Linked DNA regions of Arabidopsis thaliana. The protein of the gene in region 2 interacts with the protein of the main gene of each other region in a pairwise test. Each region holds a gene or a part of one and is shown on either strand. Other genes may lie near its edges. The genes, in order: AT3G29270, AT3G19460 and YLMG2.

Region 1 (10,722 bases), 4.5 Mb from region 2:
TACTCTTTTTCATGATATATGAGTTACGATACAAAATTCTATTAAATTAAAACATGTTATCATCACGATCACTCTGCCACCTTGATTTATATTATTATTGGAGCGCGACTCTGCCGCCCCTTTATTAATATAATGCTTTTATATGTTTGTTTAACGTACCATCTTATTTGTTGTTTTAACTTGTTAATATGGATGATTTTAATCACCATAATTTACTTAGGGGGTGTATTGGAATAAAGATTTGGGGGTGTTTGGTGGAAGTTACATATTTTGGAGATTTGGTTAGATTTGATTAAATAATTGGTGATTTGGTTAGATAGGTTAGAGTTGTTATTTAAAAAAAAAAAAATCATAGGTGATTTGGTTAGATTTATTAGATTGATTTGGTTAGATTTTACAACAACAAAATGAAAGAAAATCAACGATCATAATTCTTGGACTGGGTTAAACTCAAAATGCTCATAACATACCTTTCACATTCCATTTTATGTGCCTAATAAGACTCATAGAAACGTTCATATAATCTTAATAAAGCCAAAAAAATGAAATTATAATTCAATCAAAAAGCAAAAGAAAGCTCTTAGAATTATAGGTGACGTTCAGTCAGATATGTTGGTAATCAACACCTTCAAATCTCAAATCTCAACAAGCCAATAAAAAAAGAAAAAAAACAATCTAAAAATATATAACATAAAATGTTTATTATTATGATTCCATATTTATAACATATGTCCACATGTTTTCTGCTATTGTTGCTCTCCAATTATTAGCAAGTACTCTTTGTTGTTCTTGAGTACCTTGACCCTCTTCATACGCTTATTTTTCTCATCGCCGCTTTCATCAATGCCATTTTCTTCGAGAACATCTTTCTTAGGAAAAACACATCCGAACGACATTCCTTACGAAGATAATTATGTAAAACAACACATGCAAATATTAACTCTGCTTGTGTCTTATATGGAAAGGGAGGTGCATATTTGAAGATAAGAAATCTTAATTTGAAGATTCCAAAAATCCTCTCTATTACGTTTCGCAAGCTAGAATGCCGATGGTTGAACAACTCATTTTGATTGTTGGGATCTTTTCCTTGTCCTCTAAAGTCTTGGAGATGATACCGAGTACTTCGAAATAGAGCAAAACAATTACGACAATTGGCGAATCCACAGTCAACTAAATAAAAAAATTTCTGTAATTTAAAGCACAAAATATAAGTAGGATAAAATACAAATTAATAACAAAAAAAAACTATTTTGTCATATTCTAAACAAGATACCTTCAGAAACTTTTAATTTATTTGTGTTTCTTGTTTAGGCATCATCTAATACCTTTGAGTCTTGAGCTGAACCTTCCCATCCACTTAGAACATATATAAATTCTAAATCAAAATTGCATGCAACAAAACATTTTGTGATAATTGTCCTTTTCGATTACGGTAACTAGCTGTTTCTTTTCCTGTTATCATTGCAGGGATATGTGTTCCATCAATAGCGCCCACACAATCCTAAGAAAATAACAAACTTAATGGTTAAAATTTACAATACTTAAAAGAAATAAACACAAAAAAAATAACCACGTACCTTAAAATAAGGATAAAATCTTGTGTTGTCTTTTATTTTCGTGGGCACTACAAGTGTAGGTTTAGCCATATAGCTTGGTGCAAATACATTTAACACCTTCAAAATTGTATTAAAGCTCGTACTTATTGAGAATCTCGACCTCTTGAATCTATCTTGAGCCTGGATATACCTCAAATTTTGCCCAATGATGAACAAAAAGGAAGCAAGCATTTCTTCAACTGAAACATTCATTGTATCTCTTAAACCCATCTTCACTTAAAATATACTGCATAATTTCAGGAATTCTTCTGGATACATGCGATACAAATGTCGAAAATGATCGCGATCTTCAACAAACATATTTTGTATGTATTCATGCCCAAGTCTAGTAGTTGGAAACTTGTGAAGCAAAATATCGGATTTTCGCAAGGATAGACAAAACCAGTAATAAAACCAAAATTTTTTGAAAATCACAGTTTCAATACACCCCCCTTATTGTTTCTATGGATAATTTTTATCACCATATTTCATTTAATACTCTACTTCACAGTTTTAACATGGATGATTTTAATCACCATATTTTATTTAATATTTTATTCACCATAGTTTTACTAATGTTGAGATACATTTGGAGTCCCTTGGGATAACGGAGACTATAAAGGAGAATAATTCTTCGACGGCCCAAGAAAAGACAAAATCGGTGATCTTCCTTATAAGACAAATGGATGAAAGTGTCATATATGACTATGCACACATGAGAGATCCTAAAGAATTCCGGAAATATTTGAAAGATCGTTTCGATCACCAAAGGGACATCACTCTCCCACTTGCCCGAGACGAATGGCAAAGTCTAAGGTTTCAAGACTTTGACAAGGTAATGAACTACAATTTTGCCAAGTTGGGAATTGTCGCCAAACTGAGATATTGTGGTGAAACTATCACTAAATCTCAGATGCTTGAGAAAACGTACACCACGTTTCACAAAAACCACATTACTTTGCAACAACAATATAGGTTGCGTGGATATACCAAATTCTCAAATTTGATTGTGGCACTCTTAATAGCTGAAAAAAACAGTGAGCTCCTAATCAAGAATCACATGTCCCGACCTACCGGATCAAAGGCATTCCCTGAGGTTAATGCATTGGATGTTAAAAATCCGCTTAGAGAAAACAAAATTTTTTGGGGACGGGGCGCCGAAGCTATCACAGACGTGGAAGAGGCTTTAATCCACAAACCAGGAAGTCATACCAAAAGATTCGTCCTGAGCATGAATCGAAAGGAAAAGAAATCCAAGCAAATACTTTTCAAAAATGTGACAGTGCTTGTTTCAGATGTGACCCTAAGGCACATCGGTATCAGGTATGCCGAACTCCAGCACACCTTTGTGCTCTGTACAAAAAATCTGTTAAGGGAAAAGGAAAGGAAGTGAACCTTGCGGAACATTCTGAGGGTACAACCCACCTTGATGCTTCTGACTTTGCTAATGATCTCGATGAGGTTGTCCTTGTGGAAAACTGAAATTTCTATCGTGTGGGGCTCGAATTAATATGTCATAAATAAATCGACGCTTGCTTGAAATTTCCTAAGTTTGTGTGTTTGTATTACCTATCATGTGTAATTATTGTGTGCTTGTGTTACCTATCATGTATAATTATCGGGTGTTATATGCTTGATTAATAAATTTATTTTCTACTTACCTTAATCGATTATGTTTATTTCAGAAATGGATCACATTACAAATGGAATGGTATCCAAGGCAAACCTTAGAGATATTTGCATACCGAATAGTGGAACAACACACACTATTCTAAAACAAAAAAAAAAATTCTCTCATTTGAAATCAACAAAAGTTATTGTTAACACAATATCAGGTCCCATAGACTTAATTGAATGGACCGGTAAAACAAATTTTGCATTACTTAACGGGACAAAGTTCTCGATAAATAATGCATTATTTTTACCAAATTCAAAAAGAAATTTGTTGAGTTTCAAAGATATATACCTTCATGGATATGACACTCAGTGTGCAAGTGAGAATGAAAAAAAGTACATGTATATCACTTCTGAAAAATTGGGAAAAAGACACGTTTTGGAAAAATTACCAAGACTCCCATCAGGATTGCATCATACATACATTAATTCAATAGGATCACATCTTGTTATCAAAAGAGATCATGATGATTTCACATTGTGGCACGATCGCCTTGGTCACCCAGGCACCACGATGATGCAAAAAATTATAAAAAGCTCACATGGACATTCAATGAAACCCTAAGAGTTTTATCAAGAAAATAAAAGGACATGTGTTACGTTTTCTCTTGGAAAATTGATTATAAGGCCATCGACAAGCAAAATCGATAAAGAATTACCAAAATTCCTTGAACGAGTCAAATGCGACATTTGTGAACCTATACACCCACCATGTATACCATTATATTATTTCATGGTAATGATAGACATGTCTAGTAGATGGTCACATGTTTGTTTGTTATCATCTTGAAATGTGGTATTTGCGAGATTTCTAACTCAGATAATCAAAACTAAGAGCTGAGTTTCCTGATTATCCAATCAAAGGAGTTAGATTAGATAACGTTGGTGAATTTACGTCTCAAGCATTCAATGATTATTACATGGTAACAAGAAAAAATGTCGAACATCCTGCACCCCATGTCCATAGTCATTCGAGGGAGAGCTTGTATGATTATACTTTTTTACCTTACTGTGGTTTCTACCAATGGATTTTATTAGAAAAGTTTTAACGAGACAACATGAAAGATATCGCAAAGAGATAAATGACAAATGAACTCTGGACGAGAAGAATGTTGCAAAAATTAAAGAAATATTTACATATTAAGTCCATTTGCATTTTATCTATATACACTCATATAGATAAAAAAAAAACAACGTAAAGTTTCTTTTATTATTATTTTTCTTTCGTGATTGTTCTTTTTCTCATATTTCTTCTTTTTAATATATTTATTATTATTCTTTTTAAAATATTAAAAAAATTGAATTGATAAATAACTTATAATACAAAATTCTATTAAATTATATTAATAAAATTAACCGCTCTGTGTTTTATTTTTTCAGAGGTTTACTTAATCTTCAATAAGCGTAAATGTTTTGGTTGGTAATGTTATTATGTTTATAAAAAAACAACTAACCAAGTTTTTACGTTAGAAAATATCAAAAACACTTTTGGAAGGAAAACTTGGGTACACGATTGAAACGACGTCGTTTATGAAAGCAAAACAAAACCCAGAAAGTTTAGGTCTCGCCGGAAAAATCGAATCAAGCATCTTCTTCTTTCACGTACGAAACAAAAAGCTCAGAGCAGAGTCGAATCGGTACGAATCTTTATCTAAATCACTCTGATTTAGTTTCGGTTATTGTGAACCATTTGATTGCTCTGTCCTTTCAATTATCTATCTAGGTTCGATTACTTCGTTAGCTGCTTAATTCTGTGATCAATTATCTCATTTAGTGATTTTGATTTTAGGGTTTTCTCTTTCTTCCTTTAATCTTATATTGGGATCTTCTGTATCGGATAAAGTCATAACCTTTGAGATAAAGGAATCATCTTTATTGCTGAAAATGATTGAGCTTTAGGTCTAATACAAGTCTGAGAGTCTGATTTCGATTCTGAGTATAAAAATTGAAACTTTCTATTTAGGGTTTTCTTAATCATTTGTGTTGCTATGGTTGCTTAATGTATCACTAAATCTTGGTCTTATTAGTTGGTTGCTACTGATATAGAATTGCATCTGTGAGTAAATTTAGCTCAAAGATAAAAGAGTCCCCTTTATCGCTGAAATGATCGAGCTTTGAGCTCTAATACAAGTTAAAGCGTTCGAATAATCGATTCTGATCATAAAAATTGAATCTTGCTATATAGTAGTTGCTTAATCATTTGTGTTGCCATGGTTGCTCAATGTAGCACTTAATCTTAGTTGATTCTTAGTTAGAATTGCATCGGTGAGTAAACTTGGCTCAAAGATAAAAGAGTCCCCTTTATCGATGAAATTGTCGAGCTTTGAGCTCTAATACAAGTTAAAGCGTTCGAATATCGATTCTGATCATAAAAATTGAATCTTGCTGTATAGTAGGTTCTTAATGATTTGTGTTACCATGGTTGCTCAATGTAGCACTTAATCTTATTAGTTGATTCTTAGTTGGAATTGCATCGGTGTGTCGTTGGGATTGTCTTTGAAGGATTAATATGTGTTTTCTCTTTGCTTATGAAGCGATGAAGCATCGAGTTCGGTGTTCATGAAGGTCAGAGAGTTAAGTATTAGCAGAACTGGTTAGGTCTTAGTGACAAACAAGGTATTCATGTTATCCATCCCTGATACTAGAATGTGGAATCTAGCATCGAGTTATCTTACGGGAAACATTGGACCGAAAAACGATATCAGAAGACCGGTCCATGCTCATGCGGAGTGTTCAGATGACGATGTATCTTCTGTAGGTAGTAAAGACGAAGGTCTCGAGTGTCCTATATGCTGGGAATCATTTAATATAGTTGAAAACGTTCCGTATGTGTTATGGTGTGGACATACGATGTGTAAAAACTGCATTTTGGGACTTCAATGGGCTATTGTGAAATTGCCTACTCACCCGGTTCAGCTTCCTCTCTTCATTTCATGCCCCTGGTGCAACCTTTTGTCTTTCCGTCTGGTCTTCAGAGGAACACTCAGATTCCCTCACAAGAACTACTTTGTGCTTTGGATGGTCGAGAGGATGAATGGAGAGAGACGTAACTCACCTGGTGGAGCTCAAACAGATGGAAACAATGATCATACAAGGGAAACTCCATCTCCATGTCTCCACAATCGCCATCATCGCAGTCAACCTGAACCATCACGTTCTGTTAATGATCATCGCATTCCAAGGGACAACATACAAACTTCACTGAGGAAGTCTCTGGTTTTCTTTGTCCAGTTGACAGCAAAGTTCCCATTAGTTGTCATATTTCTGCTGATAATACTCTATGCAATACCGACCAGTGCAGCCATATTGGCGATGTACATTCTAGTCACTCTCTTGCTGGCTCTACCGTCGTTTCTCATCCTCTACTTCGCTTATCCTTGTCTCGACTGGCTTGTTCGAGAGATTGTCACATGAACTTTCTAAGGATGCGTTCAGAAACTTCCCATTCCTAATTTGACGACTTTTCTTCAACAACTGAGACCCAAGATCGGTCATGTAAGTATAACAATTTCGTAATTACCGTCTTCTTTATCTATATATGGATGTAGTTTTGGATTGCATTGTTGCTCTACGAAGCTGGACGTATGTGTTGTAAGGGCTCTTGCAGAAACTTATTAGTATTTGTGGATTTGTTTGTGAGTGTTTGAGTGTCTCAATAAGATTTATGTATATAAAGTTTATGCAATGTTATTTAGGAATTGCGTAACTAAATGCATTGATTTTTCTTATATATAATGACTAAATTGTATGGGTTTTTTTTTCTTTTGTTTGTTTGTTCCACCCATTTCCATAGAAGAAAGCAAAAGATGACACCCAAAATTAGGGGTGGGTGTACGGCTTTTCGGTTTGGTTTCGGTTCGGTTATTTCTCTTTTATGTTTTCTATGAGTTCTAGTCTAGATCATTTGAGCTTAAAGCGTTAATTGTGTTCTACGATATGAAACAAAGACTCAAAGAGCATTCAAATATGATGTATACACAAAAAGAAAGAGTTAAGCTGTCTTAGTTTATGTGTCCCTCTTCCACCGCAGCAAAATCAAGCCCGGAAATCTTCATCGGTCCAATGTTAACTGGCAAAAACCCCGGTGTGTTGATTCAACAAAACAAGACAACATAAATGTAATGAGAATGGCACAAGAATAAAGTGTTGGTTTTACTTACTAACAGCATCAAGTCCAGCTAATTTGGGCATAAACTGTCTGATATGGTCCTCTGCTGCTTCATCTGCCTTCAATGTCTCACACTCGAACGAAACCGATACTTTCTTCTTCCCGTGTTTTTCTTCGACTAATCCTATCACATCTTCCTCCCACCTTTCCAAAGACAAGTAGTCATATTCACTAAACATAGGACAGTAAAAGACTCTCACAAAAAGGTTTTCAAATTCAACTCATTCGAATGTTTTCTCCGAAAAGCTAAGAGCATAACAGATACGAGAACAAGGACAACTTACCCGTGAGCATGCTCGACATCATTAATTCGAGCAGCATCATGGCCTTTGCACTCCACTACAACTGTTTGTTCCTTCTTTCTCTTTTTCACCAAAAGAAACCAAGGAACAAACTCAATATCATGGTTTTGGAAATTAAGAGTTAAGAATCACAAAAGGAAGTGAGAAAATCATACATTGTAGTCTATGATAGTGAGTTTGATCAACCGATAATCCTCACCGCGGCTACACTCAGTCTCACAAGCTAGTTCTTTAAACAGAGAAAAGCAACATCAATAATACAACAAATTGCAGTGAAATCAAGCAATGTCATGTCAAAATTGCCACAGTAACTAAGCCATTGGATCTTTATCAATCATTCCAGTATCAATAGATGTAACTAGTGCAAGATTAAGTCTTTAATCTGAATCATTTACATGCTTGAGAACCAAACATTTCTATCAAATCCAAGCAAGAACACAAAACATCTAATTGCAAAACAGAATCAAACTCAACAAAGAGAAAAGACCACATTTTTTTGGTTTGCCCTAGTAAGAAGAGATTTGAAGTTACCAGTGCCATGGAGGCCATAACAGATAGAGCTAGGCATCTGAATGAAATGACCAGAGATAGTCCCACATGGTAACAAAGCTATTGATGCTACTCCTTCCTTCACTTCTCCTTCTTCATCTTTCTTCTTCTTCTTCTCTATCTCTCCTTCTCTTCCTTCATCTGCAATTACACCAATTCCTTTACAACAACATCATTCAACAAAAAAGAAACAGTTTCGAAATAAAGCCAGAAACTTTTACCCATTGTTGCTTGAGAGAGAGAGAAATCGATTCTTTAATTCACTACCAAAGTGTTCGGCTTTAGGGTGTTTTCAACTACTTAAAATCGAGAACGTTTTAAGATCCTTAAGCGACGTCGTTTCTCTTTTCAAAGCTTAAAACTACGTCGTTTACTCTCTGTCTCTGATGTATCTTCTTCTCCTTCCTCAGCCACAGAACAAGCTTTGATTCATCATTTCTGCGAAAAGAACAGAGCTTTGGCTTGGTTTCGTGTCTTAGGTACTGGTTCTTACGTAGCTTATGTTCTTTGTTTAAGGAAATTTAGGGGTTGTTTGCTTAGACTTGAAGTGGGTATTACTAAAGTTGTCAACTTTTTGTTGAATAGGAAATGGTTTCTCAGATTTCGTCTGAATTATGCTAAAAGATCAAGTTCTCTCTGCTCGGTGTTGAAATTGGAGGTGTTAGAGATTGCTGCGTTTAGCTCTTCACTGTATTATCATGGGAGCTGTCTGGTTGAGTCATGTCTCTCAATTGGTTTGTGGATGTTATTTAATTGAGCAGAGCTCTTGTGTTTTGAGAACTTTTCATTGGTCTTTGAGTCACTCATTGAACTTTACATTGACCATGAAGCCTAAACGAAGGCGTCTAGGTGTAAAAATGGAGTCTTTTTCTTTGGCAACACCAAACATGTGTTTCAGGAAGGTGAGTAGTGAATTAGACAGTTCTTTCAACGGTGAAAATGTGGTTTGTGGTTTGGAACTGGAGGAGAAGACTGCAGGGGATAGGAATAGGATACATTTTCTAGAGGAGCGGAACGAAGAAACTTTATCGAAGAGGCTTCGGAAACTTAGCAGGTTGGATAAAGTCAGAAGCGCATTGGAGTTGTTTGATTCTATGAGATTCTTGGGTTTACAACCTAATGCTCATGCCTGTAACTCTTTTCTCTCGTGCCTCTTGAGGAATGGAGATATTCAGAAAGCTTTTACCGTCTTTGAGTTCATGAGGAAAAAGGAGAATGTTACAGGGCACACGTATAGTTTGATGTTGAAAGCTGTTGCAGAAGTTAAGGGTTGCGAGTCTGCATTAAGAATGTTTAGAGAACTAGAAAGGGAGCCGAAACGTAGGAGTTGTTTTGATGTGGTTCTATATAATACTGCGATTTCTCTATGTGGACGGATAAATAATGTGTATGAGACAGAGAGAATATGGAGAGTTATGAAAGGTGATGGTCATATTGGAACAGAGATTACATATTCTCTGCTTGTTAGCATTTTTGTTCGGTGTGGGAGAAGTGAATTGGCCCTTGATGTGTATGATGAGATGGTTAACAACAAGATATCTCTGAGAGAGGATGCAATGTATGCGATGATAAGTGCGTGTACAAAGGAGGAAAAATGGGATTTGGCCTTAAAGATATTTCAGAGTATGTTAAAGAAAGGGATGAAGCCTAATCTTGTAGCTTGCAATACTTTGATAAACTCGCTGGGAAAGGCGGGTAAAGTCGGATTGGTGTTTAAGGTTTACAGTGTTTTAAAATCCTTGGGGCATAAACCAGACGAGTACACGTGGAATGCGCTGCTCACGGCTTTATACAAAGCAAACCGATATGAAGATGTTCTTCAGCTGTTTGATATGATAAGAAGCGAAAACCTGTGTTGTCTAAATGAATATTTGTACAACACAGCTATGGTGTCATGCCAAAAGCTTGGTTATTGGGAGAAAGCTGTGAAGCTTTTGTATGAAATGGAAGGTTCGGGTTTAACAGTTTCAACTTCATCATATAATCTAGTGATAAGCGCTTGCGAAAAATCAAGAAAATCGAAAGTTGCATTGCTAGTATATGAGCACATGGCTCAAAGGGATTGTAAGCCAAACACGTTTACTTATCTTTCGCTTGTAAGGAGTTGTATTTGGGGTTCCCTTTGGGACGAGGTTGAAGATATCCTTAAGGTACGAGTTTTCTTTATGTTTGTTACTCAAATGTGTGGTGGTTTGGAAGAGGTAGTCTAATGTTGTTTGTTTTCTTGAACAGAAAGTGGAACCCGATGTATCGCTTTACAATGCAGCTATACATGGGATGTGTTTGAGACGCGAGTTCAAGTTTGCAAAAGAGCTGTATGTCAAAATGAGAGAGATGGGTTTAGAACCGGATGGCAAAACCCGAGCTATGATGTTACAGAATTTGAAGAAACACCAAAAATAAGGTTATAATTGTACGTTATCTACTCATACTT
Region 2 (10,584 bases):
ATTGAAAATTTGTGGAGTTGCCTGTATTTGACTCAGAAAGAATAAGAAAGTAAAGGTTGGCTAAAGCACCAGTGATTCTGAAGTTACTTAATGTCGTAATTTTTTGTTGGAGCCTCTGATCGTGATCATGGTACGACAGCTGGTTTTGTTACTCGGCATGCTCTCTAAGTGTTTTGAACTGTATAGACAAAAGTGGTTAAAGTATTCCCCTATTTGGTCACTCCAACTTTGATGTTCTTGATGGAGGTTTACTTACATTCCTTTCAGGACCTTTTTCTACCTTCGGTTGTGTCTCTTGCTGTTCCACTAGCCCTCATGTCTTTGACCAGGTTAAGTTCTTCTTGCATCCTCAAACGAAAAAGGAGACTATGTTTGGCTTCAACTGTCTCGTAAATGTTTGCAATGTATATGCTAATTGATGTAAGTTTTTTTTCTTTCTCAGTGAGGTAAATGGAAAGGAACAGGATCCTAAAGATGTATTGGCTTCTGAAAAGATGGCTCCAAGAGGGAAGCTAGTTTTTGGAGTTGGCCTTGGAGCATTGGTTTTTGTTCCAGTCTTTAAAGCTCTAACTGGATTGCCTCCTTACATGGGTATCTTGTTGGGTCTTGGAGTTCTTTGGATCTTGACAGATGCCATTCATTACGGTGAATCAGAAAGACAAAAGCTCAAAGTACCTCAAGCCTTATCTCGAATAGACACACAAGGTGCTCTGTTTTTCCTCGGGATTCTTTTATCCGTAAGCAGGTATTAAATCAACTGTTCATCTCCAAACTCCTTATGTTCCATTACTCTTAAGAATTCACAATCTTTTCTGATGTTGTTTTCCTTTTTTCCAGCCTTGAGGCAGCTGGGATACTCCGGGAGATTGCAAACTACCTTGATGCCAATATACCCAACGTTGAGCTCATTGCAAGTGCTATCGGTGTTGTATCAGCAATCATAGACAATGTTCCACTGGTTGCAGCGACTATGGGGATGTATGATCTCACATCGTTCCCTCAAGATTCTGAATTTTGGCAGCTCATTGCATTCTGTGCCGGCACTGGTGGTTCGATGCTTGTCATTGGTTCTGCTGCTGGTGTAGCCTTCATGGGGATGGAGAAAGTCGATTTCTTTTGGTATTTCCGAAAGGTAAGATACATTCTTCCGGCTTGTCTAACGATCAACAACACAACATTGCATTAACCAGACTGAAACTCAATACTCTTGTGGCTCTGCGCAAGAAACTCAGTTTTTTTTTTTTTTCTCCATGCAGGTTAGTGGTTTTGCTTTTGCTGGCTATGCTGCTGGTATCGCAGCTTATCTGGCCGTTCATAATCTTCATTTCGAGATCCCAACAACTGTGGCTCAGATCCCATTTCTCACTGGTTCATAGGCTCCATCAATCTCTGTATTTCTTCTCTCTGAGAAAACAAGAAAAAATCCCTGGCTGGCTGCAACAATAACACATCACTTCGTCGACATGCCGCTTTGGAAAAAATCAACTATGTAATTTGTTTCATGTACACTCGATTGTATCATTAGTACAGAATAAATCATCATTTAAGATTATATCGATCTCTGAGTTTTTTCTTATGTGCATCCATGTAAAGTATTAACCTATAGTTTGAGGAAAACAAACTCTTCAATGGCAGGAATGTCTCCGATTTTCTTCAAAGTTTCTTTGCTTGGTTGTTCATCTACTCCAATTGCCATCACAGCTTGCTTGCCTGGAGCGATTCGACCGACGCTCATGAAGCTCACGTTGACGTTTTCATCTCCTAAGATGCTAGCAACTTTACCGATCATCCCAGGCTGATCTACTTGCCTGCACAGAATCACACTCCCTTCTAAACTCACATCCACTCCAAATAATCCGACTTTGGTAAGACTTGGAACCCCTTGTTTCACTCTGCCTTCTACTTTGATCTCACCGGACTCTGATAAAGCGCTGGCAAATCTTGATTCCACGTTTGCTATCCGAACAGTTATGTATTCAATTGGATTCTCAGGTGAGCCGTCTAGAACCATACGTTCTTCTGAGATTTTGACTCCACGTTGTTTGGCAATATAATCGGAGTTAACCAGATTTATGAATACGCTGGAAATGGGTTCGATGATCCCCTTTATGACCATGGCTCGGAGAAGTCTAGTGTCGAGATCATCAGGAGCTCTGGAAGAAGCATAAGTCACTTTCACAGCATTCACACCGCTTCCACCAGTTACCAATTGTACAGCCAGCCTCCCAAGCTTCTCAGCAAGTACAACATACGGCTTCAGCTCCCTCAATACCTGAAAACAGATAGCAACTGAACAGTGTCAGAGAATTTGCAGGACAAATCATTATCACTACTTGCAATATCACCAAGAACTAGAAGAATGAAACTTGATCCTGAATTAAGGACTCTATAGTGAAGTCTGAAATTACCTCTAGTGGAACCATTGGTGCATTGACCGCGGTAGCAGCAAGTTCTCCTCTCAAAGCTCCAATAACAGCTTCTGCGACTTCGATAGACACTCCTTCCTAGGCGTCAAGTAAAGGTTTCAGGAGAGCAGAACAAAATGCACTAAAGGCAAAACGAATATACAGTATGTAATACCTGAGCCTCCATAGTACTAGCACCAAGATGAGGTGTGGCAGTGACACTCTCATGTAACACCAACTTATTATCTTTAACAGGTGGCTCTACTGTAAAAACATCAAGAGCTGCCTGAGCAACAATACCCGAGTCAAGCGCTCTCAAAAGAGCTTCCTCATCAATAACTCCACCACGAGCAACATTAACAATACGGACTCCTTTCTTCATCATCGCAAAGGTCACATCATTCATCATCTTCGAAGTAGCAGCAGTAAGAGGCAGATGCAAAGAGATGAAGTCAGCAGTTGAAATAGCTACTTCAAAACTAACAAGCTCCACACCAATAGCTCGTGCACGATCCGCTGGTGCATAAGGATCATGTGTAATGACATGCATACCAAGTCCCCTGGCTCGTCTAGCAACCTCTGATCCAACTTTACCAAAACCAAGAACAGCAAGAGTCTTCCCCACAAGTGAAACACCTACATACTTGTTTCTCGTCCATTTGCCTACAAACAACCACATTTCTACATTTCACATCGCAATTTCTCAAATCGCTATTCAAATTCAACAACCGTTTAAAACACTCACCAGCTTTGATAGAAGCATCAGCTTGAGCAATGTTTCTAGCCATGGCGGTCAAAAGCGCAATTCCGTGTTCAGCAGCAGCCACAGTGTTCGCAGTCGGAGCATTAACAACCAAACACCCATACTCAGTCGCCGCCGCCAAATCGACGTTATCAATCCCAACACCAGCGCGTCCAACAACCTTAAGCCTCCCACGCGACGATTCAAACACATCTCTCCCAACCTTGGTACCACTCCTGACGATGAGCGCATCACAAAGAGAGATCTTCGTACAAAGCTCCTCGAGACTCAGATCATAAGAGCAATCCACATTAGCGTACTTCTTAAGCAGATCGATCCCCGCTTGGCCTAGCTTCTCCGTTACGAGAATCGTCGGTTTTCCTCCACCTCCGGAAGAAGAAGACGTAACGAGGATGATCCGTCGCCTCTGACGGATGGGAAAAACAGAGGAGGGAGTGGTGACGAGCCTTGAGGAGGAGGAGAAGATCGATGATAGATTCAGAGACGTCGCCATCGCGATGGCGGGAATATAATGTAAGTAAAGGTGTATGTATCGTCAGCAACAGAGTAGAGAGATATGGGTTCATCTTTCGGGTGGGTTTTGTGAGGTTTAAATATGTTGTGCTAGATTACGCTACATCCTTTGTTCACTTATATCTTCACTTCTTAAGTGGATTTTGAAACTTTATATAGAAGAAAAAAAAGTTACAATTTAATAATGGTTTTGCTAATAAAATACAAATATACTACATTCTTAAAACAAAATAATAATATATCAAATATTATACTATTAGGTTATGTGGTTTAAAAATTGAAAAAACACATTTTTTTATATTGATTTTAAATTAAATTATAATATAAATAGAGATACATTTATATATCTATTAGATAAGGCGCGTTTAAGTAAGGCGGATTGTAAAAAATAATGTAAAAGTTATCGATGACATATGAATTCTATATAGTAATATGTATTTTTTTTTAATATTTTTATTTTTTCATGCCTGTTCTTGATAGTTAGCAAGTATATAATATTGAAAGAATTGTATCTCTGTTTCTTTAGATTTAGACATCTTTCATATCGTCAAATGCTGAAAATTTGTCTAACGTTCCAAAACTCTTCTTCCAGTCAAACTTTAGTTTTATTTATTGTTTGATGTAGTAAGAATCTTCTGGTGAAGGGTTTATTAATTGATTTGGCAACTGGCAAGGTCAAAATACTAGGCAGATGTCGTTGGAGGATATCACCAAGTATTGGAAACGCCTTGTGGAACACAAGAGAAATAGTAGTAGCGTAAAGCCTCATGATTCATCAGTCAGTAGCCGCTAAATTTAAGGTAATCATATGAGACATACTAACCACTATTATTTTGTGATATTCGTTGAAAGATAGCAGAATGAGTGGACAGACCACAAGGACAAGCGCTGGTCACCACATTAAGGAAGGGAGTAAACCTGTGGCACACGAAAAATCGTTCTACAAGTCCCTGCTTCAAAATCATTCTACTCCATGCTAGACAATTAGGATAGAACAATAACTAACATGATAAAAGGATTATGCTATAACTTAAATTGGTAAGAAAAACTAAATATATCAAGAGGTATTTTAGCAGCATGTCAAGATCTATATCACTTTTGCAGAAGACGCTGAACAAAGAGGAAGAAGATATGAGCACATTTTATCTGAAATATGAAACACCTAAAATATGAAGTTGATATAGTACAGGGCCATAGTGAAAGCTTTTGTGAGATATCTCAGATAGCTAGCTATCTATTAACCTTAGCCTTGTTCCTTACTAGAAGAAAGAGAAGAGAAACCTCTCTAGTTTTGTCTAATGAACAAAAAGATCACCCGTTCGACTTATCTTTAACTGCTACTGTGTTACAATAGAAAAAGAAAACGATGAACTATCAATACCTAAAGACTCTTGGAAGAAACGATGCATGCTTTCGCGGAGAATGCCAACCAAGAAGCATACAGTTTGCTCCAACTTAAGGGGACTGAAAGTAACAAACGATTAGCTGCAGGGGAAGGAGCGTGTGCACCATTTGGAAACGAATTCAAATATATATGGCAAACAAAAACAAGTATGAGAAACAAGTTAATATGTTATTGACTAACAAATAATGATCTTGTTCAAAGAAGATGACAAAAGAGGAAGAAAAAAAGTAAGCAAGGAATAGATGGTCGACTAATTAAGTTGCACTAGACTTGGAACATAAGAGCACACAAGTGGAAAACACTTTCGGTCTGAATCTCCGAGATCAACTGCTTTAAAGGATCCATCCACTCCAAAGATGTAAGCTATGTTGCGCTTATTATCGTAGTCTTTATCAAAAACCACAGCGACTTTCTTCTCCTCGTCGATGAAGAAACTCCCAAAAGTTAACTGAAACTGAGGGCTGACGAGTTGTTTTAAACTCACTGATAAGAACACCTTGCTGTTCCACGACACAGCGTTGGGCTCAATCTTAGACGTCACCCAGATGTCCAACTGTAAATAATCCCACGGCTGATATAATACAACAAGCTGCTCTTCTCTAACACTAGATACACTCATAGTATCTTCAGAAACAGCAAACTCAAACGGAAGAGGCAAAGGCGGCCCAAATGTCTCGCTTGTGAAATCAAAACAGAGTAAGAAAAAATGGTCTGTGTCCATTGTTTCGGTATAATTCTCTCTAGCAAACCAGTAGGCATTTCCCTTGAGAGACACGCCATGGAGCATTTGCCATAAGTGCCACTCCGGAGTTACATCAAGATCCCTCCATAAGTCAGAGTTAAAATCGTAGATTTTGAAGGGATCCAAACAAGTAATACCCCTCAAGATTTTGTGGGATTTGCGGCTCTTGTCGTATCCGAGAGCATACGAATAGCTATCGAATTTGTTGAATTGATGTGTGGGCTCGAATAACCGGGTATGCCCCCAATACGGGTTCCAAACAACGAGCCTAGTCTTGGATTCGGTGATGCTGATGCATAACAATAAACCGTCACAGTGAAAGACTTGAGATATATCAGCTTCTTCATCGCCTAAGCTAATAAGTTTAGCTTCACGTTTTATACATGATGATGATGATGATGATGATGATGATGATGATTCAACAACGTTGTTTTGAAGATTGACTCTCATCAAATAAACCCTAAAATTCATCATCAAGACCACCATAAACTCCTTTGCGTCTGCTAGTACTTTTGCTTGAGCAAGGTGCTTCTTTGCAAAGCTCCCACATTTGGATAAAGTGCTCCACTTTTTGCAAGTAGATCGGACAGGCCTCAGAGATGTCAACGGAATTCTACAGAGCACCTCCTCCGGCAAATCTCTTGGAAGATTGTACATCTTCTTCATTATCAACCAGGACCAATGTAACGCAAACTAGTTAATGTCGGAAACTATTTACGTTAATCTTCTTAAATAACAACAAAGAACAAAAAAACTGCACCTTATTCTTATTTTTCCTCTGTCTGTGATTACAGATTTCTTCGGCCTCTCGATATATATAAAACAATTGAAGACGGCAGTCACGGCACAATCCCTTGAGGATTCGATTAAGACAGAACAAAACAAGAGCAAATCCCAAATAACTTAGGTTAACAAAGAAGAAAAGATCAATTATCCTCAGGAATCACGACCGACAGAACAAACAAACAAGAACCCATAAAGCTCAATCGGGTCCATGTTCACTGAAAGTGGACTTTAAAAGCCCAAAAGCCTATCCAATGTGAACGAGAGAGAGATAAGACGACTAGGCACATATATCACATTTTGTTTTGGTTGAAACTGTAACTGTAATCTTTAATAATCAACAAATTAATTATTGAATAACCTCTCAAGTTGTATTAGATTCATCTTTCTCGTTTCTACTGGAACAATACTGCAACAAAGCATTCGTGTAAACTAAAAGACCAAAAAAACCAGAAACTCATGAATCTTGAACACAACAAAAACACACAAGAAGAAAACTCCTAGTAAGCGAAACAGAAAGAAATGAACGAAAATCTGTACTGTGATTCACTTTTTTCCGCTGCTCTTTGACTATCCTCTTGTAGCATTACAGTAATGGCTCCTTCTTGTAGCTGTAATTAGTCTGGTGACCAAATGGACTGTTTTTCACCTGCAGCGTTTCAGTAAAACCTCAGTCGAAAACTAACTCTTTCTCGGACCACAAAGGATCAATTCATCAGAGACTACTTACACTACCTACTGATGTTTCTTCTCTTTGTTTATGGGCAATGGAAACTTCCTTGAGATATTTCGAACGAATTTAGAAGTCGAGTTCACTTTCTCATCAATGTGGTCTTGGTACTTCTCATACACAATAGGAAAAGAAAGACTGAGAAGAACTCCTGCAAGATAAAAACAGCGACACATTAGTTAATCATATCAACCAAGATCATAGACTATATAACCGACAAGAAAAGGTTAGACGCTCACCAATGTAAACAAGAGTGAGGGAGTTGATTAAAGTCCCAACATAGGATATAGCCCACAAGACAAGAGAAACCTGTTTCACAGCAAAAACAAACGAGATGTGAACAGTGAGATACATCACATGCAGAAACAAAAAGATACAACAAATGGTTTGCCACAAGTGATGAAAGAAAACCTGAAGGAGACGAATCGGATTTCTAGCTATGGTGATATCACTTGCAATTGACAGTACATAATTGATCCAAACCCGAAGATCATCAGCAGCCTTATTTGCAAACTCCTCAGGGATTTCCATATTCGGAACTGGAGGTAGCGGTCTGAAATAAAACCACATCAGTTGTATACTTTATAAGAATAAAAACACACATGACTCGGGTTGTCAAAGCAAAGTTCCAGTATTCATAAGCTTTTATGCTCCAAAATAGTCTCTTTCAAATGGTGAAGCAGTAACTTAACAAAGAAGAAGCTAATGCAAGCTCTACTATCAACACAATCCATCAATGCCGCATAAAGGTTTCATCTTTTTCCACAACAATGCAGTGAATAGAATAAGCAGAGATTTACCGGTTGAGAACTGTAGCAGACTTGGCCCATAAGAAGAAGATCGCAACGAGAAGAAGCAGAACATTGGAGACGAAAGACAAGAGATTGTATCCAGCTCTCTCGAATAAGAACCAAAACCCAGTAGAAGAGATTAGCAAAATGACTGCACCAGTCCGGTTTCTCCATAGCAGCAAATCAGCAACTGCAAAAAATTGCATTTAAGGACACAAGAGTCACGAGTCAAGAGATTCCTAAATGTCTCCAAATACGTGAAATTGTTGTTCATAATTATGATCAAGTTTAAAAATTCCCCAAATGCACATAACAATCAAACAAAACCCTCAATTTACGCCAATCAACGCAACATTCCAGATTCCGAATAGAGCGAAACTCTAGAGCGATTGAATCGAAAGCGAAACTCGAGAAAAGCCAAAATAGGCTTCAATAAATCGAATAGAGAGACTGACCAGAACCAGCACCAAGAGATTGATGAACAGAAACGCGGGATGAAGAAGAAACGGAATCTCCCATGGCGAATCAATTAGGGTTCTTCCGCATAGAGTTCCAAAGCAAAAATGAAATACACGAATCGATGTCTTGCGTCGAAAGATTTGCCGAGAGACCGCTTCGTGATCGCAGAACAACGCAACTCCTTTGGATTACTCGATTGCGCCTGCTCTCTTCCTTTCCAAAGATCAAAGATTTTTCCTTAACGCTTCCGCGAAAAAGTTTTTAGATTTTAATTATAATCAAATTATTTTCCTCTTTTTTTTTTCTTATCAAAAAAGTATTATTTTCTTTTAATACTTAGCCCAAAGTTGGTTGGCAATAAAAAGATTTCACTTTTCTTTATAATCACTTTAAACTGGTTCTCAGTTTCAATTGGTGTCAGCCATAATTCAGATTCAGAATTGTTAACAAATTTGAGTTCAAGTGGAAGAAAATTCTTATCATAATGATTTTCTTGTGACAAACACACGTAAACAGAAAATCCACATTGATTAGAAAAAAATAAAGCCAAAGCATTCGTGTTTGAACCATTTGAAAAAGACAACAACAAAACATTCGTTGGACAAACAAGCCCGTTACAATTTTTCGTTCATGTATCAATGTGCCCTGCCCTCTTTAGTTTGTAGTTGTTGCAGCCTCCTCCACCAGATTACTTCCTGCAACATCAACCACAAATCTGTAACGAACATCGTTCTTGCGAAGCCTCTCAAACGCAATGTTAAGCTCATCGATCTTCACAGTTTCAATCGTCGACGTAAGCCCTTTCTCTTTGCAGAAAGCCAACACTTCTTCTGTCTCTTTAATGCTCCCTATAAAGCTCCCTGATATCACTTTCCTCCCTGTCAAAATATAGAAAAAAACATCAGGTTTGCTATTGAATTTTGTTGTTATTAGCTAGATATGATTTAAACGCAAGAAATAGTACTGACCAAGAATGACGAGAGGGGTCACGAACTGAAGAGGAGTGTTGATAACACCCATGAGAATCAATTTCCCGTCGAGTTTAAGACAAGCCAAGTAAGGGTCGAGAGGGTGAAACACCGGTACGGTGTCAATGATGTAGTCAAGGGAATCTGCGAGTCTTTGCATCTCTGCTGGATCAGAGCTCACCACATAGTCGTCAGCTCCTAAATGTTCGATAGCTTCTTCTTTTTTCTTATCTGATGAGCTTATCACAGTCACATGGTGTCCCATTGCTTTAGCTATCTTCACACCCATGTGCCCTACTCCACCTAACCCTAGAATCCCTCCTTTAAGCCCACTCGCCATTAGACCGAAGTGGCTCAACGGACTATAAACCGTTACTCCCGCGCAGAGTAGCGGTGCAGCCTGCTCCACCGCCATTCCTTCTGGAATCTTCACCACAAACCTTTTGAAACAAAAATAAGTTACTTGTGGATGAAGAAACAAATGCTCTGTGTGTTTCTTGTGAAACAAGGTGTGTGCGTGTGCTTACTTTTGATTGACGATCATGGTGTCGGCGAAGCCACCTTGAGTAGGTTTTCCATCGGTGTAGACATCGTTGTAACTCCAGATTCTCTTGTTACAATACTGCTCAAGTTCTGAGCTGCATGGTTTGCAGCTACCGCAGCATCCAACGACCACGCCGACTCCGACTACATCTCCTACGGTGAACTTGCTCACATCTGATCCCACTTCCAACACCTCACCTACTACCTCGTGCCTGTAAATCAAAATTACACTTTTAGTTATTACGGAATCTTACTCGTATATTTCAGTTACCCCTACAAGTCCCACATTGACAGAGTTTTTTGTTTGCATATTAATTTAGAAGACTAAACAGTGACAGGTGTGGTTATAAACGAATGTCAGATGTGTAACAGTAGCACGTTCAATTATCTTCAAATTAACAATAATGTCAAGTCAACTTTATACCAAAATCTTCTGTCATACCACAAAAGTCATTTAACAACATGCATCATATAATGGGTAT
Region 3 (10,234 bases), on a different chromosome or scaffold from region 2:
AGATGGAAGAAAGAAAAAGCACCGAAGCAGACGTTGTTAAAACTGGTTCAGATTATTGGCGTGATTATGAAGTTAAGAGAAATTTTAAAGCTGCGAAACATTTTGCTCTTGAATTGCATTCAGATCTCAAGATTGTTGAAAAAACGGAGGAAGAGGTAGAAGAAGAAGTAATAAGAGATGAAGATAAAAGTGAGTTTCGAAAAGCTAAAGAATCGATCAAGAAGAGAAGACAAGAGATCTCTACAACAAGTGATATGGAGATAGATCTGAATGTACGAAGGAAAGCTCCTTCGCTTGTGGAGCTGAGTGCGAGAGTTCTTGCTCAGAATTTTTTAGCTATCAAGTCTTTGAAACTTGTTCCTGATCACTTGAGGAAGAAGCTCTCGTATCTTGTTAGTGGTTTAGGTGAATTCGATACACGTCTTATGGAGCTTTTGATTGAAGATTCTCCGAGTGAGATTTGCGCTAAGAACTGTGTCCAATTAGTGGAGGATGACTTGGTAAAGATCTTCTGTGACTGTGATAGAGTTAGCTTGAAGGTATATTAGAATCCATTTGTTATAGAAGAAGTACTTTTGGTAGCAATCTTTGTTTGTGAAAGTTTCAATCTTTTGCAGGTGTTGATTCTTGATCTTTGCGGAAGATCGATGACGGATTATACGATAAACCAGTTCTTTAAACGCGCGCCTAACGGATTCCCGTCATTGACTACGTTATCTCTTCAAGGAGCGTTCTGTTTAACAGACAATGCATTGTTGTTGATATCGAAATCATCTCCTCTGCTTCAGTATATTAACCTCACTGAATGCTCTCTTCTCACTTATCGTGCATTGAGGATTCTTGCTGATAAGTTTGGTTCAACTCTTAGAGGGCTTAGTATTGGTGGATGTCAAGGGATTAAAAAGCATAAAGGGTTTAGTAGCAGCCTGTATAAGTTCGAGAAATTGAACTATCTTTCGGTTGCGGGACTCGTTAGTGTTAATGATGGTGTTGTCAGAAGTTTCTTTATGTTCCGTAGTTCGATTCTCACTGATCTATCTCTCGCTAATTGCAAGTAAGTTACTCTTTTTAGGCCTTGATATACCAAATTCATTACCAAGTTTTATGCTGAAAACTAATGTTTTTTTTGCTTTCTCTATAATGGTAACTAGTGAGGTGACTGATGAATGCATGTGGCATATTGGGAGATATTGTAAGAAGCTAGAAGCTCTTGACATCACAGACTTGGATAAATTGACTGATAAGTCATTAGAGTTTATTACTGAGGGTTGCAGATATTTGAAATCACTCAAACTTACAAGTAACAGATTTAGGTTCGTACAAGTCTCCCAATTTGTTCTTTTTGTACATAACATCCGTTGAGTGTTCTGAATATCATCAATGTATGGGATTACTTTGACAGTGACGAATGTATTGCCGCGTTTCTTGAAGTCTCGGGAGGTTCTCTTAGAGAACTCTGCCTAAACAAAGTCCGAGATGTGAGTGTTTTTAGTACCTAAAGTCTTGTTCATGTTCAAGTTGGTTTTCGAAAGTGTTTGAGGAGTTTTGTTTTTAACAGGTTGGTCCAGAGACTGCTTTTTCGCTTGCCAAAGTTTGTAAGATGTTACAATTCTTGGACCTCTCGTGGTGTCGGAGACTCAAAGAAGATGACCTAAGACGGATTTTGCGTTGTTGCTCGTCACTTCAATCACTCAAGCTATTTGGATGGACGCAGGTATGATATTATAGAGAAACCTGTAATTCAGGTTACACTGGTGCCTTTTTTTGTTTATGTTGAATTGAACCTTGGGGTGATCTGTGTCAAAAGTACTTAAATGACAGTATTATCGTTGTAGGTGGAGGATACATATCTTGAAGAACTTTCAAGATCAGACGTTCATATTACCGGATTGAAACTGACTTCACTCTATGCTCACCTTGATAACTTTTACCCAAGTGTAGGTGCCAAGTTCTTCTGATGAGTAGACAACTGGCGTTTGTATATATAGCTTTGAATTGATGACCTTTCTTCATTGTTAGACCAAATTATAGCTGTTGTACAGGTTCATAGTAAAGAAAAAAAGATAGTGATATATGAACAATGTTACAATGTCTTTTAGAATCAGCTTTTTGTAAAAAGATTGAACTAATAGAAAGAGAAGAAAAGTTTTAAGCATATGATCCCTTGGAATATTTTTAGCAGTGTGTGGTCACAACTGTTCACCAGAAACGAAAGAATCTTCTTTCTCTCTTCTCTTTTTGAGTAAATAGCTAAACCATACCATCTAAACGGCTTTTTGAAACAATCCTGCAACTTGTGTTCAGATTCTTACCAAGAAACAAGCCATTTTAGTTCAGATGAACACCAACCGGGGATTGTAAAGAAAGTTACCAGTTGTTTTTATATATTTTGTACTGGCATTTTTCTGATGGAAACGGGATCATCCAGCCCGATGATGGGGAGGTTTACTACTTCCAGGAAGCTTTTGGCCATAAGCTTGTCGGTACTAGCCGTGCTCTCACCACTCTACATCGACAGATTATCAGAGGAAGATCTAGAAGAGGAAGAAGAACTCTTCAGCTTTATGTTTTCCTTCTCTCTGCTTCTCCTCTTGTTGATTTTAGCCATAGCCTTGTCCTTGTACAGTGACCCGAGCTTGACCAGGTTTGATCCTTACTGGATTCACAGGCTATGTGGTTCGTTTGGTGGATTGCTTGTCATCCTCATCCTTCTTGTTTTCGTCTTGATATGCAAAGCCTCTGGTTAGAATCTGAGCGAAAGTTGTTTTGATGCCACAAATGAAGAAGAAAAGCTCATCTCTTGCAAAATTTTTACAATATTTCTGTATGTCAGGAACACAACTCTTTTATTCATTTTCTAAAGAAAATTTATACAAAACTCAGAAATCCAAAGATACAGAGTAATAAAATTACTCGAAAGGTAGATTTTACATTTGAAGCGCAGAAAAGAGTAGATATTTTAGACAGGTTCAGGTCATAGAAGCTGAGCTCGGTCTGTGGTCTTTGTGGCTGCTCAACCTTCTCCTTCTCACCCACTTTGTCTCACTAGAAGCTGGAGAAACGGCTCCATCAGCTGACGGGAGTTCGCAAGGAAGTGCCATAGCCGAGCTGGTGAAGGCGTTGAGAACAAGGAACGCCAAAATGGGAGACAAATCTAATCCTCCAAGAGGCGGTATGAATCCCCGGAAAATGTTCAAGTATGGATCACATAAAGTGCTGAAACAATGGTAACGCATATACACATAAATAGGAATCAACTAGGGTTCCTGGGCAGATCAATCAGGGTTTAACCAATCTTTAATCCATTTAAGAGTTGGACAAAAAAGTAGTAGACAGAGTTTATCCAAAATAAATTTCCTCTAAATCAAGTAAAAAGACTACCTTCAACAATCACGAATAGGACTTCTATGATCTAGATTTTGTTTTCATGGATTGATCGAAAACTTTTAAACCTGGATAAGATATAAAATCATTGTGGCATTTGAAGGCAACGTTTTACCTGAGGGGGTTAACAATGGCAGGAGGAGCACTCGGGAACCAGGTGAGTACTAGACGGACGACAAGGATGGTGTTATATATGTTGAGGAAATTGATCAAACCATTAGCAACCACCAATCCTGCAACTGAATCTCCAGGCAGAACCGCTGCAAATCCGTGATTAGACATCGCAAACCTCACCCTTGTAGTGTTTCTCAAACGAATCTGCAATGCAACAAAATGATCTTCATCTTTAAGACATAAAGAACCCAAAACCAGAAGCAAAGGCACACAAAATCATAACCGGACTTATCCAGAAGCCAAGTTTCATCTTTACAAGAAAAGAACCAAAAAAGATCCCAACTTGAGGACATATATAACTCAGGGTTATCAATGTGAGAAGGTTTTCCAATAAATGCTAAATGATCTAGACAACAATCTACTGGCTGTTAAAGAATGACCCATTTTGTATAAATAGAAACCACAAAGATTCACCCATTACAGTAACAATCAGAGCCAAGGCAAGTTCATGAGAAACACACAATCATCTTCTTAACTTAATCCATAACATTCTTTAGCATAAGCAGGCTAAGAGAAGTTACCTCGTCGCACAAAATGTGAAATTCGGAAGATAGGCGAACCGCTTCCTGAAAGAGAGGGTTCTTAGAGGCGAGCGAATGGAGGAATCCTTTAAATTTCTCAGTAGCAGAAATCAGAGACTGATGAAAGTCTTGAATCAATTTGACGGAGTCTGCAACTGGTGGTAGAAGAAGCAAATTGGGTTTGTTCGAACGCACAAGAGGTGTTTGCGTAAATGCCGAAGAGAGCGATACGAAAAAGTTCGGTATCGGTCCTGAAGGATTGGATTTCAAGCTTTTCATAGCTGGTTCATTCGCACTCGCCTCCATTGTTGCAAAGCTCTAGATGTGTTGTAGAAGAAGAAAGCTTGAGAAGATAAAGTTACCTCCAAACAAAAAACAATATTTCAGGAAGATGACACGTGGCATCGCTGTGTCCCGGGGGCTGTAATCCTCTAGCTGAGTTAGAAGGTCTTACCTATTAAAACTTTGCGTTTTATGTCTCTCTCTGATTTTTCTGGTGACAGCCTGGCTTTTTAAAAATTCCACAAAAATGGCTAATGTTCGGATATATTCCAAATCCGACGTGTCAACGTTTAGCGATACTCTTTTTAACGAACCATACACCAGTCCACCACTAGTTTCTTACTTGTATACATCGCGTGACTATCGTCGTCTGTCTCGCCGGAGAAAATGGCGAGCAATCTTCTCCGATTTCCTCTTCCTCCGCCATCGAGTCTTCATATTCGTCCAAGTAAGTTCCTCGTGAACCGATGCTTTCCAAGACTGCGCCGTTCTCGTATCCGGCGGCACTGTTCGCGACCTTTTTTTTTAGTATCAAACTCGGTCGAGATAAGTACTCAATCATTTGAATCTACTGAATCTTCAATCGAATCTGTGAAATCCATTACGAGCGACACGCCTATTCTCCTCGATGTGAGTGGGATGATGTGTGGTGGCTGCGTCGCCCGAGTTAAATCGGTTTTGATGTCTGATGATCGAGTCGCGTCTGCTGTGGTTAACATGCTGACTGAAACCGCGGCTGTGAAGTTTAAACCGGAGGTTGAGGTGACGGCGGATACGGCAGAGAGTTTAGCTAAGAGATTGACAGAGAGTGGTTTTGAGGCTAAGAGGAGAGTCTCGGGTATGGGAGTGGCGGAGAATGTGAAGAAGTGGAAGGAGATGGTAAGTAAGAAAGAGGACTTGCTTGTTAAGAGCAGGAACCGTGTGGCGTTTGCGTGGACATTGGTGGCTCTGTGTTGCGGGTCTCACACTTCGCATATTCTTCATTCCTTGGGAATTCACATTGCTCATGGTACATTGATTATAATGCAAAAAAAATTGTGATGCTAGATGTCATTTGTTGGATAAGAGATGTAGTTTATGACTTTCTCTTGCACCTGATGTTACTAGGAGGGATTTGGGATTTGCTACACAACTCTTACGTGAAAGGTGGTTTGGCCGTTGGAGCTTTGTTGGGACCAGGAAGAGGTTTGCTTTTGTTTAAACTTTTAGTTCGAATCTATGATTCTTACCAGCTAATGCATAATAAGTTTAGTAATTAGTATCATAAGAGAGAGATGACAAAGTAGTCGTTCTTAGGCTATTGTTTAGACTTAGATAAGTGCTAGTGTTCTACTCTGATTATATAGGTGAGCTTTGTTGAATCAGTTCTTCTTATGGATAATGGTTAGCTTAATTGAGTCGTCGTTGTCATAAGAGAGAAACTCTGAATTTTCAAACTTCTTAAGTGATAGTGATGGTTCCTACTATTCTTTGCGACTTTCATAACAAAGTGGTGGTAGTGATATTTGAGGCTGTTCGGAAACACAAATGACTGAAACAGATAGATGTATATTGTAGAATTGCTGTTTGATGGCATAAAAGCTTTCGGGAAAAGATCACCTAATATGAACTCGTTAGTTGGATTGGGATCCATGGCTGCATTTTCCATCAGTTTGGTGAGTTTTTGTACCCTGTAATTTATATTTGACTGGTGAGTATCCTATTCTGAAAACCTGCAGTTTCTGCATTCTGAATTTTGCAGATCTCACTAGTTAATCCAGAACTGGAGTGGGATGCTTCCTTCTTCGATGAACCGGTGAGTTTCTCTAGCAGATCCACAAGAGGATGAAAGCTTTTTATTATTACTTCCACTACATGCAAAATACAGTTTCAATAGTAAATTTCTGATTGATAGCTCTTGTCATTTAGTATGCAGGTCATGCTGCTTGGCTTTGTGCTCCTTGGTCGTTCTTTGGAAGAAAGAGCAAAGCTTCAAGCATCTACCGATATGAATGAACTATTGGTATGTTAGACATTTCTTGATTCTCCTCCCAAGATTAACTTGTAGGCTTTTTCCTCCCTTTTTTTTGACTTGAAACGTATTTTTGCAGTCACTCATCTCCACTCAATCAAGACTTGTGATTACTTCATCAGACAATAACACCCCAGTGGATTCTGTACTTTCCTCTGATTCAATTTGCATCAATGTGTCAGTTGATGATATCCGAGTTGGAGACTCGCTATTGGTTTTGCCTGGTGAGACATTTCCTGTCGATGTAAGTGTTTCTGTCTTTCTGACATCTTACGATTTCCCTAGTTGCTTATCCATGCTGAATTGTCTGATCATAGCAAAAGATAATAGTGTGGGTTTCCGAAAAGAGTTATGAAAATCTATCTAAATGGTTGGTAACCATCATTCTGCAATTTTAGGAGTTCTATTTCAATTTATCAGTGCTGAGAAAAAAACATGTGGATCTTTCAGTTCTTTTTGAGATTCAGTTTAATTGCACATTCTTCTCTGCACGTGATAATGGATATTATTTTTTCTTGCTCAAGATAGCTTGGTTATAATCCTTGTGACTGGTTAATGAGTAGTTCTGATTCTAGTAGTGATATTATGTTAAATTAATCACTTTCTTCATAGGGGAGTGTCCTAGCTGGAAGAAGTGTTGTAGATGAATCTATGCTGACAGGAGAGTCACTTCCGGTGTTTAAAGAAGAAGGCTGCTCAGTTTCAGCGGGAACAATTAACTGGGTAAGTATACGCAACCTAAACAAAAGTTTATTTTTTTAAAAGGCTACTTATGTAACTAACTGTGCTCAGTTACTAAGTTAGATTTACATACACTGATCATGAATCTTTTTGAATAACTGAATCTCACTTTACCTATTTCAGGATGGCCCTCTACGGATCAAAGCTTCTTCTACTGGTTCCAACTCAACGATATCTAAAATTGTCAGAATGGTTAGTGTCTATGAATCTAGAGCCAATGAAATGTAATGAAAGTTACATTGTGTGTGGCCAGTAATCTATGTAATTTGTAGCCGACTTTCCTCCTCGAAAACAGAAAAAGAAAAGACAGCAACAAATAGAAATATCATGAATGAGTCACAATCCTACAAATAGAACTCATTTACAAGTTTGTAGCTGAACCTAATTTCATACGGGAAAGTATGAATGAAATCATGTCAGAACCCTCAGTTCCTCTGTAGTGCGTCTTTAATTCATCACACCCTTTCTTTTCTGAATTTTAAGGTTGAGGATGCACAAGGTAATGCAGCTCCTGTACAGAGGCTGGCAGATGCAATAGCTGGACCCTTCGTCTATACTATAATGTCTTTATCTGCAATGACGTTTGCCTTCTGGTATGGTCCTCTTTTCATATTTCTAACGGAAATAACATGAAATTTCTTTTAAGAGTCATATATTTATTTAGCAAGGCTATGTTTATTTAGTTATAGTATAAAGTAGAAATGTAGAAGTATCATATGTCAATTACCTGTTCTGGATCAAGTGAAAGACCCATGTTTTCTTGCTTCAGGTATTATGTCGGTTCACACATATTCCCAGATGTTTTACTCAATGATATTGCTGGACCTGATGGAGATGCTTTGGCCTTAAGCTTAAAACTGGCTGTGGATGTCTTGGTGAGTGAGACATGCATCTCAAAGCTATATCTTTCATGTGAAAATATCATGGACTAGCCGGACTTAACGAGGGAGGAAAATGGTGATTGTGGGGAAAATGTGAATTCACGAAGTGAATGTAGGATTAAATTCGGGTAGAAAGAAATTTTGGAGAAAGAAAATATTGAGCAGATAATCAACTCGTTTTTTTGTGTGTATCAGGTAGTTTCCTGCCCCTGTGCACTGGGCCTTGCAACACCAACTGCCATATTAATTGGCACCTCTCTTGGTATGTTATCCAGCGTATTATTTCTCTTCCGCATAAAAATCTGCAAACGTAGCTGAGAAGAGTAACCTAATTTGCGTGCAAAGTTTTCCAATTATTAGGAAGATTCGAAACTGACACTGAAGCTACCATTGTTCCTGTTCTGTGCTTCCCTGCTGACTAGTGACTAACCTGATTTATGAAAAAATATTTTTTGGTTTTAAAGTTCTGTCGTTGATGGCGACTTTAGTTCATACATGAAATTACTAAATATGGCCTAGAAATCATGAAGAATCTCCCTTCTAGTTTCTGTGGTGTCGTACGTGCAGTCCTTCTGGTAATCTTTCATGTTAATAGGGGTAGTTAAGCATTATAATACCTTGTAATAAGCAACAATAAATTCGAGATTATTGAAACTTTCAGCCTAAATATGTCCAGGAGCAAAGCGGGGATATCTTATCAGAGGAGGAGATGTTTTAGAACGTCTGGCATCCATAGATTGTGTGGCTTTAGACAAGGTATTGCGAATCATTTGGGCTTCACCCATCTCTCTCGCTACTATCTCTTTTTTATATGAAGATGGAAAATTCTAGAAAATAAGATAAGTGTATGGGCAGTTCCTGTTACCCCTAACCCCTCAAAGTTGAACAAATCGAGTTATTGTTTCAGACAGGTACTCTTACTGAAGGAAGACCTGTCGTCTCTGGTGTTGCTTCTCTAGGATACGAAGAACAAGAAGTTCTTAAAATGGCTGCTGCGGTGGAGAAGACAGCAACACACCCAATAGCAAAGGCTATTGTAAACGAGGCTGAATCTCTGAATTTGAAAACTCCAGAAACAAGAGGCCAATTGACAGAACCAGGCTTTGGTACTTTGGCAGAAATAGACGGACGTTTTGTTGCAGTGGGTTCACTTGAGTGGGTTTCTGATCGTTTCCTCAAAAAGAACGACTCCTCGGACATGGTGAAGCTGGAAAGTTTATTGGATCATAAATTATCAAACACATCATCAACGTCTAGATACTCAAAGACTGTTGTTTACGTTGGCCGTGAAGGAGAAGGGATCATTGGTGCTATTGCAATATCCGATTGCTTACGCCAAGATGCTGAATTTACTGTAGCCAGGCTGCAGGAGAAGGGCATCAAAACAGTCCTCTTATCAGGGGACAGGGAAGGGGCAGTGGCAACTGTGGCAAAGAATGTGGGGATTAAGAGTGAATCAACCAATTATTCCTTGTCTCCTGAAAAGAAATTTGAGTTTATATCTAATCTTCAATCCTCTGGACATCGTGTTGCTATGGTAAGAATCTTCAATCAATGAAGTTAATCCTAGAAACGGTACCACACCAACTTTGTCGTACATGGATCTTCCCCTCAAAAAATCATGGCATTGGTGTGTCAAAAAATCATGGCATTGGTGTGTTATAGAGAATGGAATTAGTAAGGCTAACGGCATATTTTGTGTTTTTCAAAGGTGGGTGATGGCATAAACGATGCTCCCTCGTTGGCTCAAGCTGATGTTGGAATAGCTCTAAAGATCGAGGCACAAGAAAACGCTGCATCAAATGCAGCATCAGTCATACTTGTCCGCAACAAACTTTCACATGTAAATGCTTCAGGAGCCACTTTTCCTCATTCAAGGGACCATAACCAAACCTGAGAATTTCTCAACTTCAAAATCTAAGCTATATAATAAGCTCATCACTTGTGGTTTTTTTTTTTTTTGTGTGGTTATAGGTTGTGGATGCACTGAGTCTTGCACAAGCAACTATGTCGAAAGTATATCAGAATCTAGCGTGGGCAATTGCGTATAATGTCATCTCAATCCCTATAGCTGCAGGTGTCTTGCTTCCTCAGTATGATTTCGCCATGACACCTTCGTTATCTGGTAAGCGGCCCCTATACGATTCCAGTTAATTAGTTACAAAACAGTTTGTTCCACTTCCATTCTAGTAGATTCATACAATCCGATCATATATCATATATCATATGGTTACTTACCA

Evidence for each region.
Region 1: the proteins of AT3G19460 (region 2) and AT3G29270 interact in a two-hybrid assay, tested with the Arabidopsis thaliana proteins (one large-scale study listed by BioGRID).
Region 3: the proteins of AT3G19460 (region 2) and YLMG2 interact in a protein complementation assay, tested with the Arabidopsis thaliana proteins (one large-scale study listed by BioGRID).

What each region holds. Positions count from the first base shown.
Region 1 is NC_003074.8:11,229,435-11,240,156, forward strand, and holds AT3G29270 (RING/U-box superfamily protein), read left to right. Parts: upstream 1-4,738; 5' UTR 4,739-4,906; exon of another isoform or gene 4,907-5,803; 5' UTR 5,804-5,891; coding exon 5,892-6,683; 3' UTR 6,684-7,024; downstream 7,025-10,722. Other genes in the region: AT3G29280 (uncharacterized protein), read right to left, coding at 7,271-7,338, 7,430-7,608, 7,722-7,801, 7,895-7,968, 8,271-8,429, 8,510-8,513; emb2076 (Pentatricopeptide repeat (PPR) superfamily protein), read left to right, coding at 8,987-10,438, 10,521-10,691.
Region 2 is NC_003074.8:6,745,667-6,756,250, reverse strand, and holds AT3G19460 (Reticulon family protein), read right to left. Parts: upstream 8,945-10,584; 5' UTR 8,652-8,944; coding exon 8,588-8,651; exon of another isoform or gene 8,339-8,587; coding exon of another isoform or gene 8,323-8,338; coding exon 8,142-8,322; intron 7,895-8,141; coding exon 7,581-7,894; intron 7,493-7,580; coding exon 7,347-7,492; exon of another isoform or gene 7,261-7,346; 3' UTR 6,922-7,260; downstream 1-6,921. Other genes in the region: NHD1 (sodium:hydrogen antiporter 1), read left to right, coding at 268-329, 443-745, 838-1,132, 1,257-1,376; AT3G19480 (D-3-phosphoglycerate dehydrogenase), read right to left, coding at 1,601-2,272, 2,409-2,504, 2,581-3,068, 3,151-3,661; AT3G19470 (F-box and associated interaction domains-containing protein), read right to left, coding at 5,337-6,485; ATCAD4 (GroES-like zinc-binding alcohol dehydrogenase family protein), read right to left, coding at 9,246-9,469, 9,560-9,999, 10,087-10,314.
Region 3 is NC_003076.8:7,238,381-7,248,614, forward strand, and holds YLMG2 (YGGT family protein), read right to left. Parts: upstream 4,501-10,234; 5' UTR 4,386-4,500; coding exon 4,080-4,385; intron 3,703-4,079; coding exon 3,500-3,702; coding exon of another isoform or gene 3,496-3,499; intron 3,461-3,495; exon of another isoform or gene 3,217-3,460; coding exon 2,970-3,216; 3' UTR 2,821-2,969; downstream 1-2,820. Other genes in the region: AT5G21900 (RNI-like superfamily protein), read left to right, coding at 1-539, 618-1,054, 1,152-1,313, 1,403-1,478, 1,559-1,714, 1,836-1,958; AT5G21910 (uncharacterized protein), read left to right, coding at 2,409-2,747; PAA2 (uncharacterized protein), read left to right, coding at 4,749-5,370, 5,469-5,546, 5,919-6,016, 6,103-6,156, 6,277-6,363, 6,452-6,616, 6,985-7,095, 7,237-7,305 and 7 more. UniProt on the Arabidopsis thaliana protein: Not required for the biogenesis and accumulation of native cytochrome b6 in the thylakoid membrane. Not functionally involved in the pathway for covalent binding of the c-type heme to cytochrome b6.